Linked DNA regions of Tribolium castaneum. The protein of the gene in region 2 interacts with the protein of the main gene of each other region in a pairwise test. Links are inferred from orthologs where the notes say so. Each region holds a gene or a part of one and is shown on either strand. Other genes may lie near its edges.

The links.
Region 1: the proteins of jbug (region 2) and alc interact in a two-hybrid assay, tested with the Drosophila melanogaster proteins (2 studies listed by BioGRID). The link is inferred for Tribolium castaneum from reciprocal best matches to the Drosophila melanogaster genes jbug and alc.

Annotation. Positions count from the first base shown.
Region 1 is NC_087402.1:2,228,817-2,241,666, reverse strand, and holds alc (5'-AMP-activated protein kinase subunit beta-1), read left to right. Parts: upstream 1-8,824; 5' UTR 8,825-8,872; coding exon 8,873-8,888; intron 8,889-8,935; exon of another isoform or gene 8,936-9,086; coding exon of another isoform or gene 9,087-9,231; exon of another isoform or gene 9,232-9,336; coding exon of another isoform or gene 9,337-9,391; intron 9,392-9,781; coding exon of another isoform or gene 9,782-9,958; intron 9,959-10,007; coding exon of another isoform or gene 10,008-10,354; exon of another isoform or gene 10,355-10,408; intron 10,409-10,459; exon of another isoform or gene 10,460-10,686; intron 10,687-10,945; coding exon 10,946-11,595; intron 11,596-11,830; coding exon 11,831-11,977; 3' UTR 11,978-12,209; downstream 12,210-12,850. Other genes in the region: leucine-rich repeat protein soc-2 homolog, read left to right, coding at 2,932-2,965, 3,013-4,379; uncharacterized protein LOC100142195, read right to left, coding at 9,087-9,231, 9,782-9,958, 10,008-10,354; zinc finger protein 69 homolog B, read right to left, coding at 12,228-12,487, 12,534-12,850.
Region 2 is NC_087398.1:12,981,577-12,993,945, reverse strand, and holds part of jbug (filamin-A), read right to left. Parts: exon of another isoform or gene 12,028-12,369; intron 11,969-12,027; exon of another isoform or gene 11,862-11,968; intron 11,812-11,861; exon of another isoform or gene 11,795-11,811; coding exon 11,653-11,794; intron 11,572-11,652; coding exon 11,408-11,571; intron 11,280-11,407; coding exon 10,991-11,279; intron 10,943-10,990; coding exon 10,779-10,942; intron 7,318-10,778; coding exon 6,090-7,317; intron 6,035-6,089; coding exon 5,867-6,034; intron 764-5,866; coding exon 389-763; intron 1-388.

The DNA.
Region 1 (12,850 bases), on a different chromosome or scaffold from region 2:
CGAACATATGGACTTTTTTTGGACTTTTAACAACTCTAGAGTGTTGTAAAGGCATATATAAATGCGAAAAAGTATGATAGAACGAATTTAAAAAAAAATAATTTTTTCACTTTCTTGAAGGTAAGTGTTTATTTCTCAGGAAATTTTAGCAAAAAAAATAAAATTTTTAAATCTCATGAAAAGTTCGTATAATACAGAAAATGAGCCGCTGAATTCAATGGAACAAACCGCATTGCTCTATGACTTTTAGTTTTTGAGTTATGAATTTTTTTGTTGGATAAAATATTCCACTATGACAAATGGCTACCTTAATTTTAGCAAAAAAAATTAAATTTTTAAATCTCATGAAAAGTTTGCATAATACAGAAAATGAGCCGCTGAATTCAATGGAACAAACCGCATTGCTCTATGACTTTTAGTTTTTGAGTTATGAATTTTTTTGTTGGATAAAATTTTCCACTATGACAAATGGCTACCCTAAATTTAGGCAAAAAATTTTAAATTTTTAATTCTTGTGAAAAATTGATATAATATGTAAAATGAGCCGCTGAATTCAATGGAACAAACCGCAATGCTCTACGACTTTTAGTTTTTTTTTATGAATTTTTTTAGTGAAAAACTTTGATCGCCTCTGTAGCCGGAACCGTTGCCCGGAGCGGCTCCGGGTTTAATCGAAAAAATAGAGAAAATTAATCGCTATCAGATGGTTTTTTGTTCGTTGCTCTAAGTCTTACAGTTTCCGAGAAAAACGCAAAAAAAGTTTCCATTTTCACTTTTTTTCAATTTGCAACCGCCAATTACGGCGAAACTGTTAGAGTTATCGAGAAACGGAAAAATCGAGGACAACCGGAATAAAAAACTCTACAAAATGGCATAGGACTCAAGGCGATATCTCGCAGAAAATTTTTCAATTTTCAATCGCCGATTACGGCCAAACTAAAAGAGCTAGGAGAAAACTCTTTTTTCCATCGTAAAGAGCACATCAAAAGCTATAAAATAGAATAAGTTTTATTCGATTCTGAGACACTTTTAAAATTGACCATTTTGAAGGGGGGGGTGTTAACTTTTTTTTAATTTTTTTTATTTTCCCAATTACGACTAAACTATTCAAAAAAGTGGAACTATTTTGATCCATACCTATGCAAAATGATCCGGGAAATCGATTGGCATCGAAAAAATTGCCAAATTCCCAATAGTTTTTTAGTTATGAATTTTTTAAAATTTTACCAATTTTTGCATTTATCTGCAATTTGCTCAAAAACTATTAGTCGGAGAACAATAATTTTTTTTGAAAAAAATAGATAATTCAAAAAGCTTTCCAACGATAATAAACTTCATAGGGTTATCTCTGATAGTTCCGGAGCTATTGCTCAACAAATGTGCCGGGTACTCAAAATCGACAAAAATTGCGACGAAAATTGAAAAAATCAAACATCAAAAAATCGAACATATGGACTTTTTTTGGACTTTTAACAACTCTAGAGTGTTGTAAAGGCATATATAAATGCGAAAAAGTATGATAGAACGAATTTAAAAAAAAATAATTTTTTCACTTTCTTGAAGGTAAGTGTTTATTTCTCAAGAAATTTTAGCAAAAAAAATAAAATTTTTAAATCTCATGAAAAGTTCGTATAATACAGAAAATGAGCCGCTGAATTCAATGGAACAAACCGCATTGCTCTATGACTTTTAGTTTTTGAGTTATGAATTTTTTTGTTGGATAAAATTTTCCACTATGACAAATGGCTACCCTAAATTTTAGCAAAAAAAATTAAATTTTTAAATCTCATGAAAAGTTTGCATAATACAGAAAATGAGCCGCTGAATTCAATGGAACAAACCGCATTGCTCTACGACTTTTAGTTTTTGAGTTATGAATTTTTTTGTTGGATAAAATTTTCCACTATGACAAATGGCTACCCTAAATTTAGGCAAAAAATTTTAAATTTTTAATTCTTGTGAAAATTTGATATAATATGTAAAATGAGCCGTAGAATTCAATCGAACAAACCGCCATGCTCTACGACTCTTAGTTTTTTTTTATGAATTTTTTTAGTGAAAAACTTTGATCGCCTCTGTTGCCGGAACCGTTGCCAGGAACGGCTCCGGGTTTGGATGAAAAAATAGATAAAATTAAGCGCTATCAGATAGTTTTTTTGTTTTTGGTAAATAAAATTTTTCACTGTAGATGCTTAATTTATCTTAATTTTTAGCAAAAAACTTTAAAAGTTTACATCTTGTTAAAGAATGGTTTCATACGCAAAATGAGCCGCTGAATTCAATGAAACAAACCGCTTTTAGTTTACGAGTTATGAATTTTTTTTGGTAAATAAAATTTTTCACTATAGATGTTGCCTATCTTAATTTTTAGCAAAAAATTTTAAATTTTTAGTTCTTGTGAAAAATTGATATAATATGTAAAAAAAGATTGCCAACTATAAGAGTTAGCGAAAAATCGGAATAATTCATTAGAACATAATAATCCATTTTCTTTACCTCGATGTATACGTTGTACTTTTATTAATAATTTATAAAATCAGTTTTTACTTTGGATAGGTTTATGACATGTATCTGGAAGTTTGTTTTATAATATCGTGTGGAAGCGGTATCCACTAAAAGAATCTCATATTTATGCAAAAAATCCGATGTTCTCTACACTCGGAATGCAAAACAGGATCATCAACGCTCCAAGAAGCGAGTCACGCACGACGGCACAGTTGCCAACTTTATTGATTGCCCTTTGTAAAGAACTGATTCACTCCAATTATAAACAAAATTGCGGCATTTATTGATTCCACTTTAATTAAACAACGCGGGCAAATTTCAAAAGACGGCTGAGTTCGTGCCAACTCGTGCGCTGATCGGTCAACAGGTGGGGATGACATGCTTGTTGTTATTTTCCTAACCTAATTACCTAATTGTCAAAATAAAATGAAAAACGTCCAACAAGAGATTTTAACTACAGGTAAAATATTACATACATTAACAATTTGCCTGCAGTTATGTTCTTAGAGGATACGTTTGTGTCCGTTGTCCCGACCCGTGATAACACCCTTAAAGTGCAAAATTGCACTGAGGATACCGGGGAGCGAGTGCAGCTCTGTAAGTTGCATGAATTTCTTACCACCTTTGAATTGACTAAAATTACAACTTTGCATCTTCAAAATTGCGAAATTAGCCAACTCCCGCGCGATGTACAGAAATTAAATTTAAAGCGCTTGGTTTTGAACCACAATCAACTAAAAGAAGTGCCTAGTTGTTTGTATTCCGGCTTGGAAGCGTTGCAAGTGTTAGACCTGTCTCATAATCTTATCAAAACGTTTGATGTCGAGCCGGCTTGTAGTCGCAATATTGTTAGTCTAAAACTGTCCCATAACAAAATTTACAATTTTCCGCACTGGATCATGACCTGTCATTGCCCCAATTTAATCGAAATTGATTACAGTGCCAATTTTTTGACCAGCGTGAGCGTGGCACGTAAGCTAACGCTCAAAAAAATTACAATGAACAATTCGCAATTGCTTGACGTTGATTTCGAGTTTTTCAAACGTATATCAACCTTAGAATATCTAGATATAGGTAACACCAATTGCAAATTAACAAAACAGGAGAACGAATTTAAAGACATAACTCAACTATTCGTTAAAACCAAATGGAAAGAACTGAAAGTTTTGAAGTTGGACCACATACTTGTGTCTATTATCCCGGACGGACTTTTCTGGATTGTGTCACTGACTGAGCTTCACTTAAGTCATTGCGAGCTGAGCTGGATACCGCCAGAGGTCCAGTATTTAACAAACTTGGAGGTTCTGGATGTGTCTCATAATTCCATTTGCGGAATTCCGAAAGAACTAGCGATTTTACCGAAGTTGCGAATCGTTAAAGCATCTTTTAATCTTGTTTCGTCAGTGGATGATTTCACGAATGAGTTAGAAATTTTGGATTTGTATCATAATGAACTTGAGACGTTTCCAAATTCAATCGAGCGAATTAAATTCGTCGATTTGGAGCAGAATTATGTCGATATGTCGCTGTATAAAACATATGGCGAAAAACGGGATTCTTTCCGCCAAATGCTTGACGATGGGAGAGCTGACGGTCCGAGGGTTCCACCAACGGAGGTTCCCAGCAGTGACGATGATCGGCTTTCATCAGAAGGCAGCGTTTGCGGAAATGATGATTTTTATGACGCTGATTTGGTTGATGAAACGTGGGATTATGAGGAACCTAATGTTAATGTTGGTCGTGTGCGGAACCCAGAAATAACGCCCTCTGATGACGAATGGACGGGGAGAGAAGAAATAATCATCAGGGAAAAAAGAACAACCAAGCCGTGGATTGATGTAAATGAAGACTGGATATTTTCAGATGTTGAATGATTGTTTTGTATGTTTTTAAGTTTAGAATAAAGTTTTTATTACAATTTTTACGCGTTTTTATTTATACGTCCGCCGGTGCTAATAAAATATGGTGGGAGGAAATTAAACGTCTGGCGATGGGGCGGAAAGATAATGGTAATTAAGTTGGTTTGTTAAAGAAGAATAATGGGAACTTGGCAATTATCTAACGCGAGAATTCAATATGTAACGAAATATTTGGGCGAAAAAGTCGTCTTCACACGACATTGTGCGAGTGATTTATCGTCGCTGGGATCTTAATTGCAAAGCAGCCCTCAAGCTCAGGTGAATCTCAAAGGACCAATGAAACGGTGAATCCTAGCCATGGCCAAGTGAGCTAATCTCGGGTGTTTTATTGCCTAGATTCAACTTTACACCTCCATTACGTCAAGGCGTAAACATGCCAGTGGAACAAGAAACCCACATGGACTTAATTTTCGGATGACCGATTTTTCATATTGTTTAACGTTTGTTGTTTTCAAAAGTTGGTCACTTTTTTTTACTTCATTCCTGGTTTACGCAGTTCTGAATAGGTTTTTTGCATAGTTTATCAATTTTTTTTGTAATAAAATAGTTATGATGTTGGTTGCTTGTGTTCGTTCAATTTAAATCGCCTTCGCAAGGCTTTATGCAACGTCCCTGTGGCGCAGAGGATAGCGCGTTGGACTTCTAATCCAAAGGTCGTGGGTTCGATCCCCGCCAGGGATGGGCTGCGAGGCAGCTTTTTTTAAATTTCCATTTCATTTTTTTAATTAACTTAACATTTTATTAAATTAACAAACAGAAATACAAACGGTTCATTGTTGTTCTGCAAACAATTCTTTCGAAGTTCTTGTGTATGTGATACAGTTAATGTGTAAATAGCCAAACCGATGGCTATTTTTATGCATTATTTAATAGAATATTTACAATTGGGCATAATCTTGTAAGTTACGTATTATAATTAGCATTTTTTGCGATTTATTACAATACACCTCAGTTACAATAATAAATTTTTCATTTGTTTATTTTCTCAATTACGACAAAACTATTCGAAAAAGTTAAACTATTTTAACCCCTACCTATGCAAAATGATCCGGGGAATCGATTGGCATGAAGGAAATCGCCAAATTCCCAATAATTTTTTAGTTATGAATTTTTTAAAATTTTACCAATTTTTGCTTTTATCTGCAATTTGCTCGAAAACTATTAGCCGGAGAACAATAATCTTTTTTGAAAAAAATAGATAATCTAAAGAGCTTTCCAACAATGATAGACTTCAAGGGGTTATCTCTAATATTTCCGGAGCTATTGCTCGATAAATGTTCCGGGTACCCGACATCGACCAAAATCGCGACAAAAATTGAAAACATTCAACATCAAAAATCGAACAAATGTTTTTTTTTTGGACTTTTAACAACTCTAGAGGTTTGTTAAGACTTATAAAAGTCTATAAAACTTTGCTAGAGTGAGTATAATTTTTTTTATCATTTTTGTGAAGGTATTTGCTTTGACTTTGACCATTAAAATTTTAGGCAAAAAAAATCAAAAACTCATCTTGTGTTTTTGAAAAAGATAGATAATAAATAATAATAATAAATAATAAACTTAATGGAGTTCGTCTTATAGTTCCGTAGATATAGCTCGAGCGACAAATTTAAAAAATCAATTTTTTGATTTTTTGAAGGTGAGTTGGCCATTTAAATTTTAATTTTTATTAACTTCAGCTTCAGGTTTACATTCTATTAGATTGAAATCTGCTTGTTTCTTGGGACTGCTGTTGAAAAGAGCTTCGCATTTTTGGTAAAAAAAAAGTTATTTTTGCCACGTCTCCCAACAAAGCCACCAGAGATCTAATCCGTTTCCATTTACCTGACTCTGGCAGTGTGAACGTCCGGCTCGAGGCTCGCTTCACCTCGGCCTGCCACTAGAGTGTTTGCCTCATGTAAAGTAACATCGGCCATGTTGACTTACTCACTCTCCCAATACGCATTGCCATTGAAATCGCGCTAATTTCGTTTAAACAGTGCCCAAAAGTGCCAAAATCCCAAAATAGTAATTTCTCGTGCATGACCCCGAAAAAACCAACTCGAAATATCTCAATTCCTTCAATATGTGACGCGAGTGAGCCACTTCTGTGACCTACATCCAGTTTAAAAGCCACACAGAATATGTCCAGTTCGCGTTAAGAGATTACGGTGGCATGTTATTAAACATGTCCAATAAGAAACAGCCTTTTGTAGTGAAACCAGCAGCGGATTCTGCCACTTCTGCACCCCCGAGATATCAGCCGCCGCCGTTACCGCCCACTGGGGCCCAGGGCATCCTCAAACACCACCCGAAAGATGCCAAACTTTATCCCGCACCCAAACTACCCGAAAACGTGAGGCTGCCACAGCCCGGAAAAAACTACCCCTACTATCCAGAACGCACCACACAAGTGCAGGTCTGTAGAGGCGAAATAAAAACACACTACAATTATTTATTCATCCCATTTATCGACAAAAGTATGTCTTAAAGTGAAACCAGAAAGTTGTATTTTTTCTTTAGAGAAGAACTAAACATGAAAGTAAAACTCAGACGATTACCAAAGTTTTACTAATTAATTGCCACCAAATTTCTCGAATTTTTGTGTGTATAATAAGCATTGTATTTTCACTTTTTCATTAGTATTTATAATAATAATTTGACAGGTTTCACATCTCCGGTATTCTAATTAATTATATTATTTTTGCTTTCTAAATGCACCAGTAATATTTCTCTATTGAAACGCACTTTTTCGTAAAATTAATCTCGTTTTTCGTAAAAAAATAGTGCAAAAACCCAAATTTATGTCCTTTTTGGATTGTCTAAGAGAATTTCGGTAAAAAATCACAGTCGAAAACTAATCACCCGGAGCCATATACACAACACTCATTTGGCGAAATTTTCCTCTAGTACGCGAATAATTTTTGATGAAGGTCGGATTGATGTTTCGCTTGATTTAGTTGGTTTTATAAGAGAGAAACGATTTTTTGCGACATTTCCCTCAAAAAGTAAACACGAAAAATCACGTAATTGTTACGTTACTTGTACATTTTTTCAAATGAGGTTGAAACGCAAATTGCTAAATAAAAAAAAATAGGTGCACCAGCCGCGGCCCCTGGACGAGCCCGGCGTGCCCCAGGTCCAGCACCGGCCAGTTCGCTACGACGACGAGTTCCTCCGTCCCGAAATGCTGAAATTCGTTCGGAAACCCGACGACCCTCGCTTAGCCGACCCCAACCGGCACATGCAGAGCATCCTCGGCGAGTTGCGCGCCCTCAAAGAGGCCAACCAGCGCCTCGCCGACGATAACCAGGAGTTGAGGGATTTGTGCTGTTTCCTCGACGACGACCGCCAGAAAGGGCGCAAACTGGCCCGCGAATGGCAACGATTCGGCCGTTACACCGCCAGCGTAATGCGCCAGGAGGTCTCCGCTTATCAAAATAAATTACGCGAGTTGGACAACAAGCAGCAAGAATTGATCAAGGACAACTTGGAGTTGAAGGAATTGTGTCTCTATCTGGACGAGGAGCGAGGCGGCAACTCCATGTGCCCGGCCTGCGGGAGCGCCCCCACGGGGAACCTCCGGGACGACGGCGACGGCTCGAGTTCGAGCACTAACGCGGACGAACCGGCGATTCCCCAGCAGTTCACAAATGGGGGAAACCCCCCGAGGAGGTCCGCCAGTCGGGAGAGGATCCTCCACGAGAATCTTGCAAGGCAAAGGAGCACTTTCAACGGTGCGAAGTTATTTTTCTTGTTGGAATTTTATTAATAAGTGTTTTTAGATCAAATTATGCAATACGTTAGGAGCCTGGAGCAGCGCGTTAAGCAACTGGAGGAAGATAAGCGCGCTCTGACTCATAAAATCAACCAGATTGCGACAACAACGGGCGATTCTAGTATTGCTATTCCGCCAGATGCGGGCGTTGGGGTGCTCACAGGGCGCCCCGAAGCCGTCGTCAGAGCCCTCCAGGTCCTCGAGGTGCGAGAACAGTTGGAGAGGGAAGGGCGGATGCCCGAAAGGACGGAGAACATGTCAGACAGCACGTCTCAAGACATGGACGATGGGGAAAAAGCCCTCGTCAGAGAAATGTGCAATGTGAGTTAAGTTAACTCATTATTATAAAATTTAACGAAAATTACCGCAGGTTGTTTGGCGCAAACTAGAGGAAGGGCCCTCGCGAAGATGAGCCGATGCTTGCCGTAATGTTTAAGTACAAGACACGTCTTGCCATTGCGTGACGTCTATATCAATCCTGCTTATTACAGAGTATTATTTTTATACATTTATTTATTGTGTGAGTCACTGACGTAATGTATGTAGTTTGAAAATTGTTATTTTTTGAGAACGTCTTCAAATAAAAAATCTTTCTATGATGCGCAGTTTCGTAATACCGCTAATTGAGTTATTTTTACGTATATAATTTGAAACTCATGGTCGCATTCCAAGTTTGTTTTGTTGTGCCGGTATGGAAAAGTGGAAAGGTAAGTAAGTGGTGTCTTTTAAATCATTCACCACCGCGGAACAAACGTAGGGTCCTTTCAATTTATTATACACAATATAAACAAAAATAACACTTGTGAAAACAACACTCATTTACTTGAAGAAAACACACAATGGAAATGCAGAAATAAACAATATTTTCTTTTAAATAATCTATAAATACCCTTGAAGAAAAGTCATCAATAACGATGACGGCGACTGCTTCTCCTGTAGTCGTCGTATCTCCGTGAAGACCTTTGGTGTCTTCGTCCATAGTCCCTCTCGTAGTAGTCACCACGGTCTCTATCTCTGTGGCGTCTAGACCGATCGTAGTGCGAATCGTAACTAAAAATATTTATACCATAATGAGCACCATACTCTGACTCATACAGGGCCAAAAAGCTATGTCAGTTCCACACCAAGTCACCAACTGGCATATATGGACACCCATCAAACAAATCCATATAATATGCTTAACCAAACCATATAAATTAATACCATGTGCCTGACAAATCACAAAACAACAATTAGGTAAAACGTCTTGGTGCACTTCGAAAGGAAACAGAAACTCCATCACGAGACAAAGCACACTAAGTGCCCCGGGCAGCTATCAGTTGAGCGGTCTTTTTTTTTAATCGCAAAGTAATTACTAATCTATGGTCAAAAGTAAAAAATTAAGCCCTGTCACCAAAAATCATTAATGTTTAAATTGAATTTGTGAGAAGGCTTAATTTTAGACTTGGTACCTAATTTTAATTTTTTGTGACTGTTAAATATTCTTGCATAACATTATTCCCATTTTAAAAGACGTCTTAACTGATAATCACCTCTTCCACAATGAACCTCAACCGCCACAAATGCTTTGTCTCGTAATCAAACCGAAAGTAAGCTTTACCGTGAATTGCGATCGCGCTTGTCGCCGCCTCCGCCGTTCAATTCCGGGCAGTCTCTGTAAAAATGCCCGGAATAACCGCACTGATAGCATCTCATATTAGAATTGAAGAACCTCCTCCCTGAGCCCCTAGTTCTGGGCCTGGCATGGGTCACCCTAATCCTGCTCCCAGCCACTTCGCTACAATCCCAAGAATAATCCACGAAACCAACCACCACCTCACCCTTACATCCCGTCCGTGGCCTTCAAAGCTGCATTAGCTGCCTTTTTGTCTTTGAAAACGGCGAAGCCGAAACACGGCGTACTGTTGGTCATCCAGACCTCTTTCAAGTCTCCGAAAGGAGCGAAAACCTTCTCCAAGTCGGATTTTCGCACATCGTCCCCTATATCAGCAATGTGGAGCCTGTAACCATCGGCCTCACTGCTCCTGCTCCGGGACCTTGAACGTGACTTGGAATAACTGGAACGGCTCTGTTTGCTCTTATTACTGTTCTTGCTACTGTTTGAGGTGCTCCGACTTCGCCGCTTTTCCGCCTGGTCCGGAGACTGCGACTTTTCCTGATCGTTGTCGCGCATTTTCACAATTTTCACCAAATCAAAGATAAACAACTAATTGTTTCCGGCGCCTACCTAAAATGGCTGCTCTAACCAGACTTTGCCACAAACTAGTAATTCACTCACTGGGGCTCTTGACTCGATTTTCCTTCCCTCCAAACTTTTCTTCTATCGATTTATCACTTTAATTAGGGAATTTTCTAGTCCACCGACGCCAAAAACGACGCCACGTGACGTAATTCCGTCAAAACACCAGCTTGGTTGTGGCTACGGACACGCATTTGGCCCGGTTTACGCCAAAATTACGCGCTTATCCAACAATTTGCACGCCCTAGTTTGATAACGGGTGCCCACCATTGAAATATTACAACATTTAGCAAGAAACTTTTATTGTTATTTCACGAATTGGTTGTGAGGCCTTAGCCACAAGGCACACGAGGCTTGCTCTTTCTCTCTCCCACTCAAGGTTGTTCCATCTCCCCTCTCAACTCTCAAGGTTGCTCTCAAGGTTAGGCCTGTCACGAACGTCAAACTTGTACACAGTGTAAATAAATTGTTAGCGCTTTAAATGTTGGTAAACTCGGGCTCAAGCGTGTAAAATGGGCAATGCAGGCAGTGGCGGAGCGCCGCGGGAGCGCCCCAAGTATGGCGAGACGGTGCCATCGTCCCCCTCCAGAGAGGGCCAAGCGTTCGTTTTCGAGAAAAAACCGGACAAGTTGCTGTACCAGAGCTCGCAAGACGACGAAGAGCCGTATTTCACGCGCCCCGTGACGGCCGATTTCGACCACCAGAGACCGCGAGCTAACACTGTGTCAGAGGGTACTAAAGTCAACACCAGTGACAAGACACCGACGGTTTTCCGATGGGAAGGCGGGGGTAAGGACGTCTACGTCAGTGGGACTTTTACGGAGTGGAAAACTATTCCTATGGTGAAAAGCCACGGCGATTTCGTAACTATCATCGACTTGCCAGAAGGGGAACACCAGTACAAGTTCTACGTTGATGGGGAGTGGAAGAACGACCCTGGGAATAAAATGGTGGAGGACGAAAGCGGTGTCAAAAATAATCTTATTACGGTGAAAAAGTCCGACTTTGAGGTGTTTCAAGCCCTGGATAAGGACAGCGAAAATGCCAATAATGACTCGCAGAAGGAGTTCTCGCAGGAAATACCGGCCAATAAGCCATGGGAGAAGGTCACAGGGCCCCCCATATTGCCCCCGCACTTACTGCAAGTTATTCTGAATAAGGACACGCCACTTTCGGTAATTTGCACTTTTTTTCTTGAATCGTATGTAAAATCCAAACATTGTGATTTCTGAAGATTTTTCAGATTTTTTACGCTCAATTGGTTGATAAAAAAATCAGTTATAGCCTTTTGTTCATATTATATTAGTGTGCATCAAGTAGGTTGTAGAAATCTAAATCCACCTTTAATTTCATGGCCTACTGAAGAAGAGTATTTCTTATCGTAAATAATACAAGGTATATTTTTTGCAGTGTGAACCAACTCTCTTACCTGAACCCAACCACGTAATGCTAAACCACCTTTACGCCTTATCCATCAAGGATGGAGTCATGGTACTTAGCGCCACTCATAGATACCGCAAGAAATACGTTACTACTCTTTTATATAAACCGATTTAAGCTATTATTTATATTGTTGTGCATAATCCTTTAATGTTATTGGGTTTCATTGCTTTCTTTAACAGCTCCTGGAACAATGAAAGAAGTTGCTGGTGGGTCACAGAGCTTCAATGTGGCTCGTTACCATAGTTACCAAATTAAATTAATGCCTTAATGTGGGAAACAAATGAATGCGATTTTTTTCATTGCCTTAAGACAGCTGTGCTATGTAAATAAAAGTTGTTTCTAAGTATATAGCGTTTTATTTTATTTACGTTACACCGTGTTTTGATTTAATGTGAGTCACTAGTGAGACTTTTTGGGGGAAGGCCATTGGACAGTGCTCACAAACGTAGGGTTTTTCATTAGTATGTTGCCTGGTGTGGACTTTGAGCGAGTAAGTGCTCGTGAAGCCCTTGCAGCAATAAACACACATATAAGGCCGTTCACCCGTGTGGCTGTGCATGTGTTTTTTCATGTCTCTGACTCTTTTTCCACATATTGTGCACATAACTTTACCAATTTCTGGGTCTGTAACAAATAAGTTGGAAAAAAATTAAATAAACTGAAACCAGACCTATGTGTGTCTTCAGGTGTCTTTTATATTCCGCTTTGACTTTGAAAGTTTTTTCGCAAATCTCGCAAGTGTAAATGATTCCTCGATGGATTAGCATGTGTCCTCGTAATGATTCCGAATTTTTGAACACTTTGCCACAGTGTTTGCACTCAACTGGTGTTTCCAGGTGCAGTTGGACGTGGCGTTTCAGATTATCAGACCTCACAATCATGCCACAGACGTTACAAACACCAGGAGCCACATGCTCGGTGCGTTTGTGGTTATATAACTTAAATCTTGAAGGAAATGTTTTATCACACACGTTACATTTACACATT
Region 2 (12,369 bases):
AAGGCGTATCCTTTACCCATTCAGTTTAATAACACGATTAAAGTCTTTTGCGAAAGTACCGAGATACAAGTGTTAAACGTGTTTGCAACAAAAAATAAACATATGTTACAGTGACTTATTACAAACAATGCAGTACTTTCTACAATTATTACTGCACCTGAACAATTTCAAGGTTTCAGGTTGCCGATCAAGTAGTAATCAAGAGACTCACCATAGTTAGGAGTACCACCCTCTTCCTGGCGCGATTTACAAATAACTGAAAATTTTGGCCAGTTCTGGCTCGGATGGTCGCATAAATATTAATTCGGCAATAAATCAAACCCCGGGACTTTCACAATAGTACCATAATCGCGTAATTAAAAAATGTTGCATTTATTTAAAAGCTTACCTCGAAATTGCACGGGCTGTCCCACAACCCCTCCACTGACATCGGCCACTTGAATAAGCCCAGCATCGTACACTTTGGCGATCAAGGGCCCCGAGGGCAACTTTTCCCCGTTAACGGTGACTTCAATGATGTGAGTCCCGACCTCCGTCGGCACAAACTCCACACTTTGAACTCCGGTGCGATTTCCGGGGAGCACTCTCGCCGGCACCGACCTTTTGCTGGGCGCAATCACATGCACCATCAAATCGTCGGGCGCCACATTGGTACTTGTTATGATTTCGAAAACGGCCGAAGTGTTGGCCGGCACCAATCTGGTGGTTTCGCCCAAAACTGACAGATTTGAGTTCGACATGATGTTAACATGCCATGGACTCCCTTAAAACCACAAAAACCCTTCAAACTGGGGCCTGGCCGACCCGGAACCGCACATCGCACGCACTTCGACTCGGTGGTACCCCGGAAAAGTCCGGTTTTCGCGGAAAATGGACGACAGCGCGAAGCGAACGTCGGTAATGGTAACGCGGCTGGTACTGGTACCGTGTTAGTGTTGGTAGAAGTCGTGGGTACCACAACAGTGGGCGGGGAGAGAGGCGGGCGACATTCCTACGCTAACTACAGGTAACTCGCGATGCAGTGGCGTCCGTCAGAAAACATAAATTGATTCCTGATTTTGCACCAACCGCCACTGGTTCTAACAACCACGAAAAAAACAATTTGTTTCTTTCAAATTGGACTTTAGTTCAAAGTCCAGGTCATAACAATTAGCTAGAGTAATTGTTGTGGCGCCTAAATCGCTACGCCATTGATTTAAACGTTTGGTTCCGGCCGATGGTCACAAGCGTCGCTTCAGTGATCGGGGAACCATTTGGTATGAATAATGACATCCAGATTTAAATTTCCTGGACGTAAACAAACGCTCCATTGGTCGTTCTTATTTCAGAAATAAATAAGACCCAGTGGGCCATTGAACCTGCGCGCAGGTAAGATGAAAGCGGAAAAAGGAGAAATAACTGCCTGCTGGCATTTAATTTTAGTCACGTTGTTGCCGATTCGAAAAATGCAAATTTATTCAAAGTCGGATTTGCAGAAACCGTGGCAAATCGCAAAGAAAAATTCGTTTCCGGATTTTGGAACCAGGGCCGGGTTATTATCGAATAGAAATTCTGAGGTCATCGGTGAAATTCCCTACATTGTTTCTGAGATTGCTGGCTTTGTGTGTAACCGGTTAACTTATTACTAGGTCATAGAAATGTGCAGATGCTTATATAATATGCTCTCTCTTATAGTAACACATGAGAAATACGTTTATTATACTATTAGAGCAATCATGCTTTAATAAACGTGGAATTAATTATTGGAGACACTGGACTTGTTTCTCGTGTTTGTGCATTTGAAGCGCGTTCAAAATTATAGGACGTTCACATCGCTGAATCACGCAAAAACGCTAGACACAAAAATTTTGCACATCGTTTCACTTTCTTCAAATCGATGAAATGCGAAGCAAGATCACAAAATTACTTATTAATGATAATATTTTAATTTTTACGCTTTATGGAATAAATGTTAACAGACATTGGCGCGAACTAGGCTAACATTGTTAAAACAGCGGCTATTTTGTTATTGCTAAATAAAGAAATTCATTTAAAACCTGAACAGTATATGTTACAATGTGCTCGTTAAAATACTTTTCACGGAACATTGTGCATAAATTTTGCTGTTAATTAAATTTGTTTAAATTCGGATTACACATTACGAAAAAAAGGTACCCAGAAATGAATTTTATATTTTTGAGAAGAAGATAAACATAATGAAATAATTGGACAATGCTTGGAACAATGTAAACATTTTAATTAAGACATTTAAAAATCCCGGTAAACAGTTTAGAATGTAGTATGTTTCCTTTGATTCTTCCGCTGTTTGTATACCAGGTGAGTCTGCTAAAAGTATATTTTCACCGTAGGTATCTCAAATACTAACAACATAAATATACAGAAATCAGCCTTTTCCGATGCCTTGTCTATTAAATACCTCTTATTTTTCTCTATATAGAAGGTGTATATAAAATGGCGCATAGGCTCTGGAAAAATAAAGTTAAAAAATCCCTCTTATTTATTGTTAGCAGTAGATTAAGTGCAGACTTTTTTCTTAATTTCTTAAAATATTTTTAATATAATTATTAAATATTTTAATATAATTTTTAATATAAGAGACCAAGTTCATAGATAACGTAAATTTTGCATTGTCAAATCCCCATTTTTTTTTCAACACTAGAAATAAATTGCACCAAAAAAATTATTCGGAAAGACCTACACTTTTAATAAACACTATTATTGTTAGTTATTACACATAAATTCCACTTTTTGTTACACAGTGAAATTGGCGCTGGCCTTAAAAAATAATAGTATATTAAAAAACAAGTTTCATAAGACCAACCTTAAAGTACGAATTCAGTTTCAAAAACGAGTGGCGTTAGCCACGAGTTTTTTGAAAGAATGAGTGCTTTAAGATCTTATGATATTAGTTTTTTATATTATGTTTTGTATTTTGACCCCTTTTTGCCGTTTTTAAACAAAAAATGTTATTTTAGTCGATTTAGGTAATTGTGACAGTTGGTAATATCTCAATTTTGAAAAAGAAAAATTGATTTAAATTTTTTTTATTAAAGTTGTGTCAAAAAACAAAAGTTTGGATGACAATGGAGGTAATCTTGCATGAACACCCCCTGAAATTTGTGACATTAGCAAAAATACGGTCTCGAATTTGCTTCTTGCCAACCTAAAAATTTTCGTAAAATTTTCCGTCAAATAATGACTATTGTGACATCGCACTTGATGACGTTGAGTGCTTTAAGATGCCTATTAAAGCATAAAAATGGCGGAAAATAAAAAAAAATTACAAAAAGTCAAAGAGATGCAGTTTTAGAACTATCGTAAATTTTTTTACGTATTTTTTTTAATTTAGGAATTTGTTTTAACATGACACTAAAAATAATAAACTTTAGTTCGAATAATATTTTATTCATATTAATATTTTTAATTAAGTAAATACATATTTATTATAAAAAATGTAAAATTGCGAGTAAAATTGCTAAAGCAAACGCAGATTTCTGTACATTTTTTGAGATATAGCAAAAAATACTATTAGCTCACTCACGTTGTATATATCTTTATCGATGAATCACTTTATGAAAACCTCGGAAATATTTTCAGCAAATATCGAATATCGATTTTAGAAAGTTTGAATTTTCAGATTTTTTTAACTCTGAAACTATTACATGTAAACGTAAACCCATTAATTTATTATCTTTTTAATTTTGAAAAAGAATCGTTGTCCTCCAACTAATAGTTTTCGAGAAAATTGCTAACAAAAGCAAAAATAGTTAAAATTTACATCTGTTGATAACTAAATACCTAATAAATTTTGCATTTTGCTCAGCGTCAATCGATTCCCCAAATCATTTTATATACGTTTACATCAAAATAGTTTTGATGTAATGCTTTTGCCGTAACATAAAAAATAAAAAAAACACAAAAAATATGTTTCTAAAGAAAGCTTTTATTTAAAAAATACAGTAAAAAGTAGAAAATACTGTTTTTCTATCATAGGAGAATATTTTTGCATCCACATTATTATTCCAAAATTTATAAAAGCTTTGGAAACAATCGAACATTGGTCAATTGAAGAAAGTAATTTTGTAGTGTGGTATAAGTAGTGTTAAGATCACTCTTAAAGCTTTTATAAAATATCCTAATCTGTAAGCAAAAATTATCTCCAGTGATAGAAAAACATTACTGTTTATTTATTAGAGCATTTTTAAATAAAAGTTTCCCTTAAAAACAGTTCTTTTGTTTTTTTATTTTTTAGTCGTTATCTCGGTATTTACTTAGATCGCTTACCCATCCTAAACAACCCCATTTGCTCATCTGCTTGTAGGATTTGTTTTCCATGAGGCATATGTCACATATTGAAGAAGCAAACTGCAGTAGTAATTTTCAAGATATTGTCACTTAACTTTGAACCTTGAACCTCGCTTATCTTATTCGCATCTCTTTCATTTTTTCTAATTATTTATTTAACAACATATTTTTTGATTACTTTTCTTAAAATGTCATATATGAACTCTGTCGAAAATGATTTCAACAACCCCTTTTACCCCGTTTTGGGGGAATTAACTAAATCGAATTGCATTGTCACGGAGATTACGTGTGTATGCAAAATTCCATTTCGTTCGCATAACAGGAACCCCAGAAACAAACAAACAGATAACAAAACAAGTTAAATAAAAGCTTCCAAAAATAAAAAAATCCACCACACAAAATCCAATTTTGGAAGCATCCAAAATCGAAGGAATCCATTCTCTCTGTTAGCTTTTTCTGATGTGCTCCTTACGATGTAAAAATGAAAAAAATCATGCTTGTAATAAGCTTATCACAAAATTGAATGGTCAAAAACGAAACCAAATGTCTTTCAATTTCTTAAAAAAAATTCTTCTAGTCATTTAAAGTTTCGCCATAATCAGCATTTAAAAATGGTTTTTTTTTAGAAATTGTCTTAAAATTCATACGATTTTGTAGTTTTTTAACCCGGTTCTAATAGTATTTGACATTTTTCGCTAACTCCAATAGTCGCCGCTTGAAAAGTAAAAACTGTAAACATTTCAACGCATTTTGCATTTTCCCCGGAATACTTATACGTAAGCAAAAACCAAAAAAGCATCAAAATGCGCTTTAAATTATTTTTCTTCTCGTAAGAACCTAAAGCCGTTCCGGGTTACGACTCCGGTTACAGAAAGATTTTTAGTTTTGACAAAAAAAATTTGTTACCCGAAAAGTAAAAATCTTAGAGTAAAACAGTTTGCGACGGATTCTACGTTTCATTTTACGTACACCTATTGTATTTACTAGTTTTTGTGCTACATCTTTATTAATGTTAATCAGTTTAGCTTTAGTCGTTTAAAATGAGGAAAAATTTTGTACAAATAAATAAATAGGGTATGACATACGTATGTATCAATACTGTCAAAATGATAAATTTATTATACCTAGCCACACCTTGCCGATTTGCAATCTCTCCTCCTGTTAATTATAGCACGTTTACTTAGAAAGATTTATGCGCATCTCTATGTTAAAGATTGACTTATATGGACATAATAACCCTATTTGCCACATCGCTGAATCTCATAACTTTAAGATAACTAATGGAGAGACATAAATCAATCATAGATTTCCATTTGAGTACGACCTAACTGCAACAATCTACATCTGCACATTCTTAACCGAAACAATATCCATGTTTTTGTATTGCCTGATATCGGTTAAAAACAATTTAAATCATAAACCCATTAAAATAAACTCCGTCGACCCTGGCCCAATTCAAAAACTGTGTCACACAACACAATCAACTCCCACGCAAACAAGTGTGGGCCTCTTCGCCAACACCATTCCAAAATCGGCGATTTCCATAAAAAAAATCACTTACCTGGCACCGTTTCGCCGTTAAACTTGATATCGACCCGATGCGGCAGCGCTTGGTGTGGGGTAAAAGCGGCCTTAAACCGTTGTCCACCCAGACTCCTAACACTGGACGTGACCCGACCACCTTCCACCAGAATTTCCAAATCACCGGAGCCGGCACCGCTCCCATCAACTGCAATTTCAAACTCATTACTACCAAAAATTTAAACTAAAGGTATCACAAGTACTTTCAAACTCAACGGGTTGTCCCAGGACGCCGTCAGGGACCGGCTGAACTTTAACAGCGGACGCTCCGCCGTTTCTAACCCCGATCCTGTGTCCTGTGGACGGTGAATTCCTCCCATAAATATCAATGTTGTTCGAGTATTTCTGTGAGGACGTGTAGTTGTGCTCTTGGGTGAACATTCGGTTGTGTTCCTCCACTTTTCTCCGTCGCAGGTCGGCGTCTAGTTGGGAGTCGGTTAAATTGGCCACTGATTCAAGACTTCGCTCTGATAGAATATTTCGTGTTTTTGCAATAGCATCCCAGGAGTCTCTTCTGGCGGATGATTGGTCTGCGATTGCCGACACTTTGACTATGGGACTAGTGTCAATTCCGTCGTTGTGATCATACGAATTGTTAAAAGACCGACTTTCAGTGACCCGTTTCTCGTACCGTGAGTTATAACCAACATCTGGACTAGAACGTTCTAAAAAATTCGGACTCCTGGACTCGGAAATACGCATGGAAGACATCTTCGACGTGTAACTCGAGTCGTACTCTGCCTTCTTGGCAAAGCTGGGACTAGCGGTGTCGTAGCGTTTCTCGTTGAGTCTCCGACTGGTGATGTAGTCAGGACTATCCGACCTGTTGTAGCTCGGACTCTGGGTCCTCTGCATGTAGCTGGGACTATTAGTCCGGTTGAGGTAACTCGGACTGTTCGTCCGGTCGTTGAAACTCGGCGAATTTCGCTTATCCACCGACATTTTGTGATACTCTTGTGCGTATTTGTGGGTTTCACTCGACACCGGACTGGCACTTTGGCGGTAATTGCTATAAGTCGCGTTTTTGACGTGGTTGATTGGACTAGAACTTGAATATCGACTAGTTGGGCTTTGTCTGTACGTGGAGTTGGGGCTCGGACTGCTGGAGGACTTGGAGCGCTTTTGGGTGCCGACGCGCATCATGAACGGGGAGCCTTTGACGTCGTAGCCGTTGAAGTAGACGTAGACTCGGTGCTTGCCCACGTCTTTGGGGGTGAAGTGGATACGGTAGAGGAGCTTCGAAGAGTTGACTTTCTCGACGCGACAGTGGACCGAGCGCTTGTCGTGGACGATGTCGGCGAAGACTTCGCCAGGGACGCCGACAGCACGGCAGTCCAGGTCGATGCTGTGGGGTACGAGAGGCAGGGCGCCTTCGAGGCCGGAGACTTGGACGCCGTTCGGGTCGAAGACTGAGCATGTGAAAGGACCACCCTGAAATTAATTTGATTTTGAAAACAAGCAAAAATTCGTCTCATACACGACTTGAAAAAACAAAATTACGAAACAACTATTTTGAATAAAGAATGTTTTTGTGAGTTGATATATATGGTTGCCAAAGAAATACTCTGAGTCTATTAATTATTTATTTTTAAATATTTTGCGTGCTGGACTCAAACGAGTGAGAGTAAAGGCATTTTACATTTATTAAAAACGAAATAACGCAGCTTAGTGAAGTGTAAACAATATATTTAAATTAAATTATGCATGAATTTTGTATTTTTAGCAGACAAGTACGAAATTATTGTGTAAAAGTTGCCATTTCAATACATTCTACAAATGTTGAAATCACGAATGGTAAACTACTTAAGTGTAACAATAAAAGACAATTAGCTGCTAGTACAATTCGTTATTTAAAACAATGAGTAGTAAACGTGAATGCTGAAAGCCTACATTTTGTGTTAAAACTGGATGTAAACAAGGCAAGTTCGGCCTTGATTTTCTTTATTTGCAATACTGTCATTAATCAACAAGCATTACGAAGTCAAATTAGAATAAGATTTATGCTTGGAATCAGTATTGTGGAAAGATTAAATTTTCTATTATATTGTTTATAAATAAAAAAGTTAAATGTTAAAATAAACTGAATTCTTGTGGTGGAGTCTCGATAAAGTTTCGTGAGACAGTAGCATACTTATAAATGGGCTATAGCCCAGAGCGGCAGAAATTTAGAGGCGGCAAAAATGTCTTTATTTTGATTAAAAAAAATACGAGTACCAAGTAAATAAACGGGTTGCATATTTAAAATTAATTATTGATCAGATTTTTACCTTTCGACGTATTTTTTTACTTCGCTTTTTTACTTAGTTCTTAATTTTTTTGGATAATGAGTTTTAAGAACTTTCATAGTAGTTTCAATTAATATTATAGAAAATTGACGAAGAGTAATGGTAAAAAAAGCCTGAGTAGTAAATGCTACAGTAAAATGTCTATAGAAAAAGTCAGTGGCAACGTAATATTAGGTATTGAAAAAAGTCGTAAAAATGACTACGTTTTGTTTTTTTTTAAATAAATATAAGCTAATTTTTTAATAATATTTAGAAAATTAAGGTGATAGTTACAAGTCTAGTGCAAAAAAACTATTTCAGGTTTTTAAATTTAATTTTCAGAACTACAAATTTTGCATTTTTAGAAAACTTGTGCTTAGAATTGGATTTGTTGCTTCATTCAAATAAATTGTTCAGGAGAAGTCAAGGACATTACAGAATTTTAGAGAAAATCAACTGATAAAAAGAATGAAGTTACAAGCAGATACAAATTTGGAAAAAAATATAGCAGAAAACTGTATACACTTTTTTAATTAATTAAAATAAAATATTAAAATGACGCCCCGAGCTTATTACAAAAAATTTTCGAACTTTGCCGAATTGGTTGTATCGCCATGGATGTCCTTACCCGCAAAAAATTTACAGATAAAATTACTCCATTTAGTACATTATCAAGTACATCTTTAAAAAATGTGATAATTTTTTAAGTATATTTTTTAATTTTTTTTAATTTTTGAGTTGCTCAAAAAAATTCAAAAAAAATTAATGGCATACTATTGCTGCTATTTTTTTTGGTAAAAGAGAATCCCCTAAAAATGTTTAATAAAAATATTAAATTTGCGTTCCGAGTTCATTGCAAAAATTTTTTGATCTTGGCCAATGTGGTTGTAAAAAATTTACATTTACTCCAAGAAAAACATGGATACAACATTTACGACTAACTTCGAAAAATCTTTGTAGTGCTAGTTTAATAATTTATTTTGAAAAAACACTGGTTTAAAACAATACTATTGTATTAGAAATCAATTTTAGAGCATAATATTTACCAAAAAAATCGCCGTAGTAGGGTGCCATTTAAAAGAAAAAACATTTTTAAAAATGATCACATTTTTAAAGTTAGTTAGATGTACCAATTTGTTTTTCGTACATAGTTTAGACACAAAACCCTTGGTTTCATACTTTTGCTTATCTCTGTTTAGAAAACGTTTCAGAAAACGTCTAAAAAATCTATCAAAATACCCAGTGTCATTTTTAACAAATTTATCAACATATAATTGGCAGCATATATTGATCATTGTCAGTACTTCAGTGTTTTCGCCGTACCTATATTTTAATTGTTGTAGAGTAGTTACAGTTGTAACCATGGAATTTTTTTAATGTATTTTCATATCAATTTTTAGCTTTTTGGATAGAAAAACAACAATTTTTAAAACTTAATGTGGACGAAGTCACAAGTGGACTTATTTCAGGAGTAGATAGATAAACAATCTTTATCGTCGTGTATAAGTAATACAACTTTTTTTCTATAGCAGGACTTCAAGTTTAAGAGAAAAAAATTATTGTTAATCCGTATATCCTTCAAATTAAAATGTTGCAAATTGTAAATTTAATTGAATAAAAAATTCAATATTTTATCTACCCTTTTGGTTAAAGTGCTATTGTATTCACTCAAAAAAATTGATAAAGAAAGACATAGGTACTTTATCACCTGCTATAGAAAAAAGAAATTTAATTTTCAGTTTTAAGGATACTCATATTTCGTACATACGTACTCATATTTCTCGTTTTATGGTGCTTGTATTTCTACAGTTTTCATTGCACAACTCTTACATTTTTTATGGTGCTATTTAACTTATACGTGCGAGCATAAAAAACGTAATTAAACGAATTTCAGTTCTTAGTAGAATTTTGCAACAACGCATATGAATTTTTTGGATTGAAATACATCAAAAATTGAAAGTTTCTATAAGAATTCTGTGTTAAACTAAATCCCAGCGTCAAATACAAATAGATACTCTCAATTTGTGCTCCATTTCACTCCAAAAAATGCAAATGCGTTGTTGCAAAATTCAAATATGAATTGAAAGGATATACGAACACGATTTCAGGCTAGATTTCAAGATTTTAAAATAAAGCTACCCAACAAAAATTATTATATTTCGCTTTTCTTTTCATAATTCGTTTATTACAGCAAGATTGAATCTTACCAAAAGAGTAGTGATTTTATAAAAACATACAAAATGTTTTACAGCGACTTAATCGTGGATATTTTCACGAAAAACTATAAAAAAAAATTGTGCCCAATAACGACTCCAAAAACATAATTCAATACAAAATGTTTTCATCATTGACTTCACCGCAATTATTATAATTTACTTATGGTAAACACAAGTCGAGTTAATTTTAATAAATCGCTGCACGTTCGAATTCATCAAATGAACGCAACTAATTGGAATAATAAATTGAGCCGATACGTCAGAAATAATCTTTCAAATCAATCAAACCCTCGATGATAAATCCCGTGAGACTTAAAAACCAAGAGGAAGTAAAACTAGTTCTTTTGTCATATAACGAAGGTTAATTTTGTCAAGTGATTGATCAATAATTGACATCGAAACGGATAACTACCTGTATTTGCTTTCCTTGATACGTAATCTCAATCCTCCATTCCCCGGCTTCGTCCGGCTTGAAGGTAGCACTATTGGTCCCATCGATGGTAGTCAATGGACAATTCAACGGCCGCCCTGTGGGGCTGTACGCCGTCACTAGAATATCCTCCCTCCTCGGCGCCCCTAAACACCCACGATGCAAATCAGTCGCTCACAAAAGCAAAAGCAAACCTGTGGCATTGACCAGGACTTGGACCAGCGACCCCAACGCACACGGCGCCATCCCGGGCGGCGCTACTTCAACAAGTTGGGGCAAAACTCGGAAATAATGACCGCCGACGACTTCCTGTTCTTCGTATTTGACGACGATCTCATGCATACCAACCTTCTGCGGCACGAAGACCCCCCGTCCCTGCCTCAGGTTCTTCACCGGATACACTTTGTTATCAGGGCCCCTTATCTCCACCGTCACGTTCGAGTACGCCAGCGAGGAGTCGAGCAAATTGACTTGGAAGTGCGTCTGGAAGTAGCGACAGTGCAAAACTGGCTCAATTAACTCGCTACAACTTTCTTAATTAATATGAAATATAAAAGTGTGTCAACAGCACAACTTAGCGTTACGTAATAACTGCACCGGCGATTACTTACGGGTTCTCCAACCCTTCCCGAGGTCGAGTTGAGCGCGACGGAGATGAGGTCGTGCAGCGGGGGCCGTTCGGGGATCCACTGGAAGTGAGCCGCGTATGCCATCACTCCCAAATGCTCGACGTGTGCGTCTGCCATGTCCTTGGCTGATAGTATTGGTTGCACACCTGAGTCATAACAATTAAATTAATTGTTCTATGCACGCTTCACTGGCTGCCGCGACTGCTAAAAGGGTAACTTGGTCTCACCTAGTCGTTTGCCGGCTTCGATGGCTTGGTGCAGGTTGGACTCCCAGTATTGCGACTCGACGCGGAGCTTCTCGGGAGCTGGGGCTGAGCCGCCCAGCGAACGGATCACTTCGCTTATTACCCTGCCGTCGTTCCAGTCGCTCTATGAATTCGAAGGATGTAAGTTGATATGTTAATGTAATAAACAATACACGATTAGCATGTTTAAGGTGCCGACTGTTCCGTGTCTTAAGGTTGAGCTGTTGTGAGAATGTCTGAAGAGGAGCTCTTATACAAGCGTTTAAACGCAAAATTTCAAATTGAATTTTTTAGAAGAGTAGGTTCTTTACAATTGGCTGTTGTTCGTAAGTTGAATCATTATTCATTACCTTACAGGTCAGTTTGTTAAGGCTAAAGGGAACGACAGAGTGCGACAAAGACCTGTAGTAATATAATAAACTTTATTTTACTATGTTTAGCGACATTTTTTATCTAATTTTAATTTGAAAAATGGAATTGAAATAATTAGAATTTGAGAAACGTAACACTTTTTTGAAAAAAAAACATTTGATAGTTTTTATTAAAATTTTAAACAAATAATCATGATATTTTAAAAAACATGTAAGGGAAAGATGCACTGTGATGATACGAACAGAATGCGTCCAAGGAATAAATAAATTTTTTAGTAGTTTTGAACGAAACGAATATTTATTTTACTTTGACAAAATTTGAGTCCGA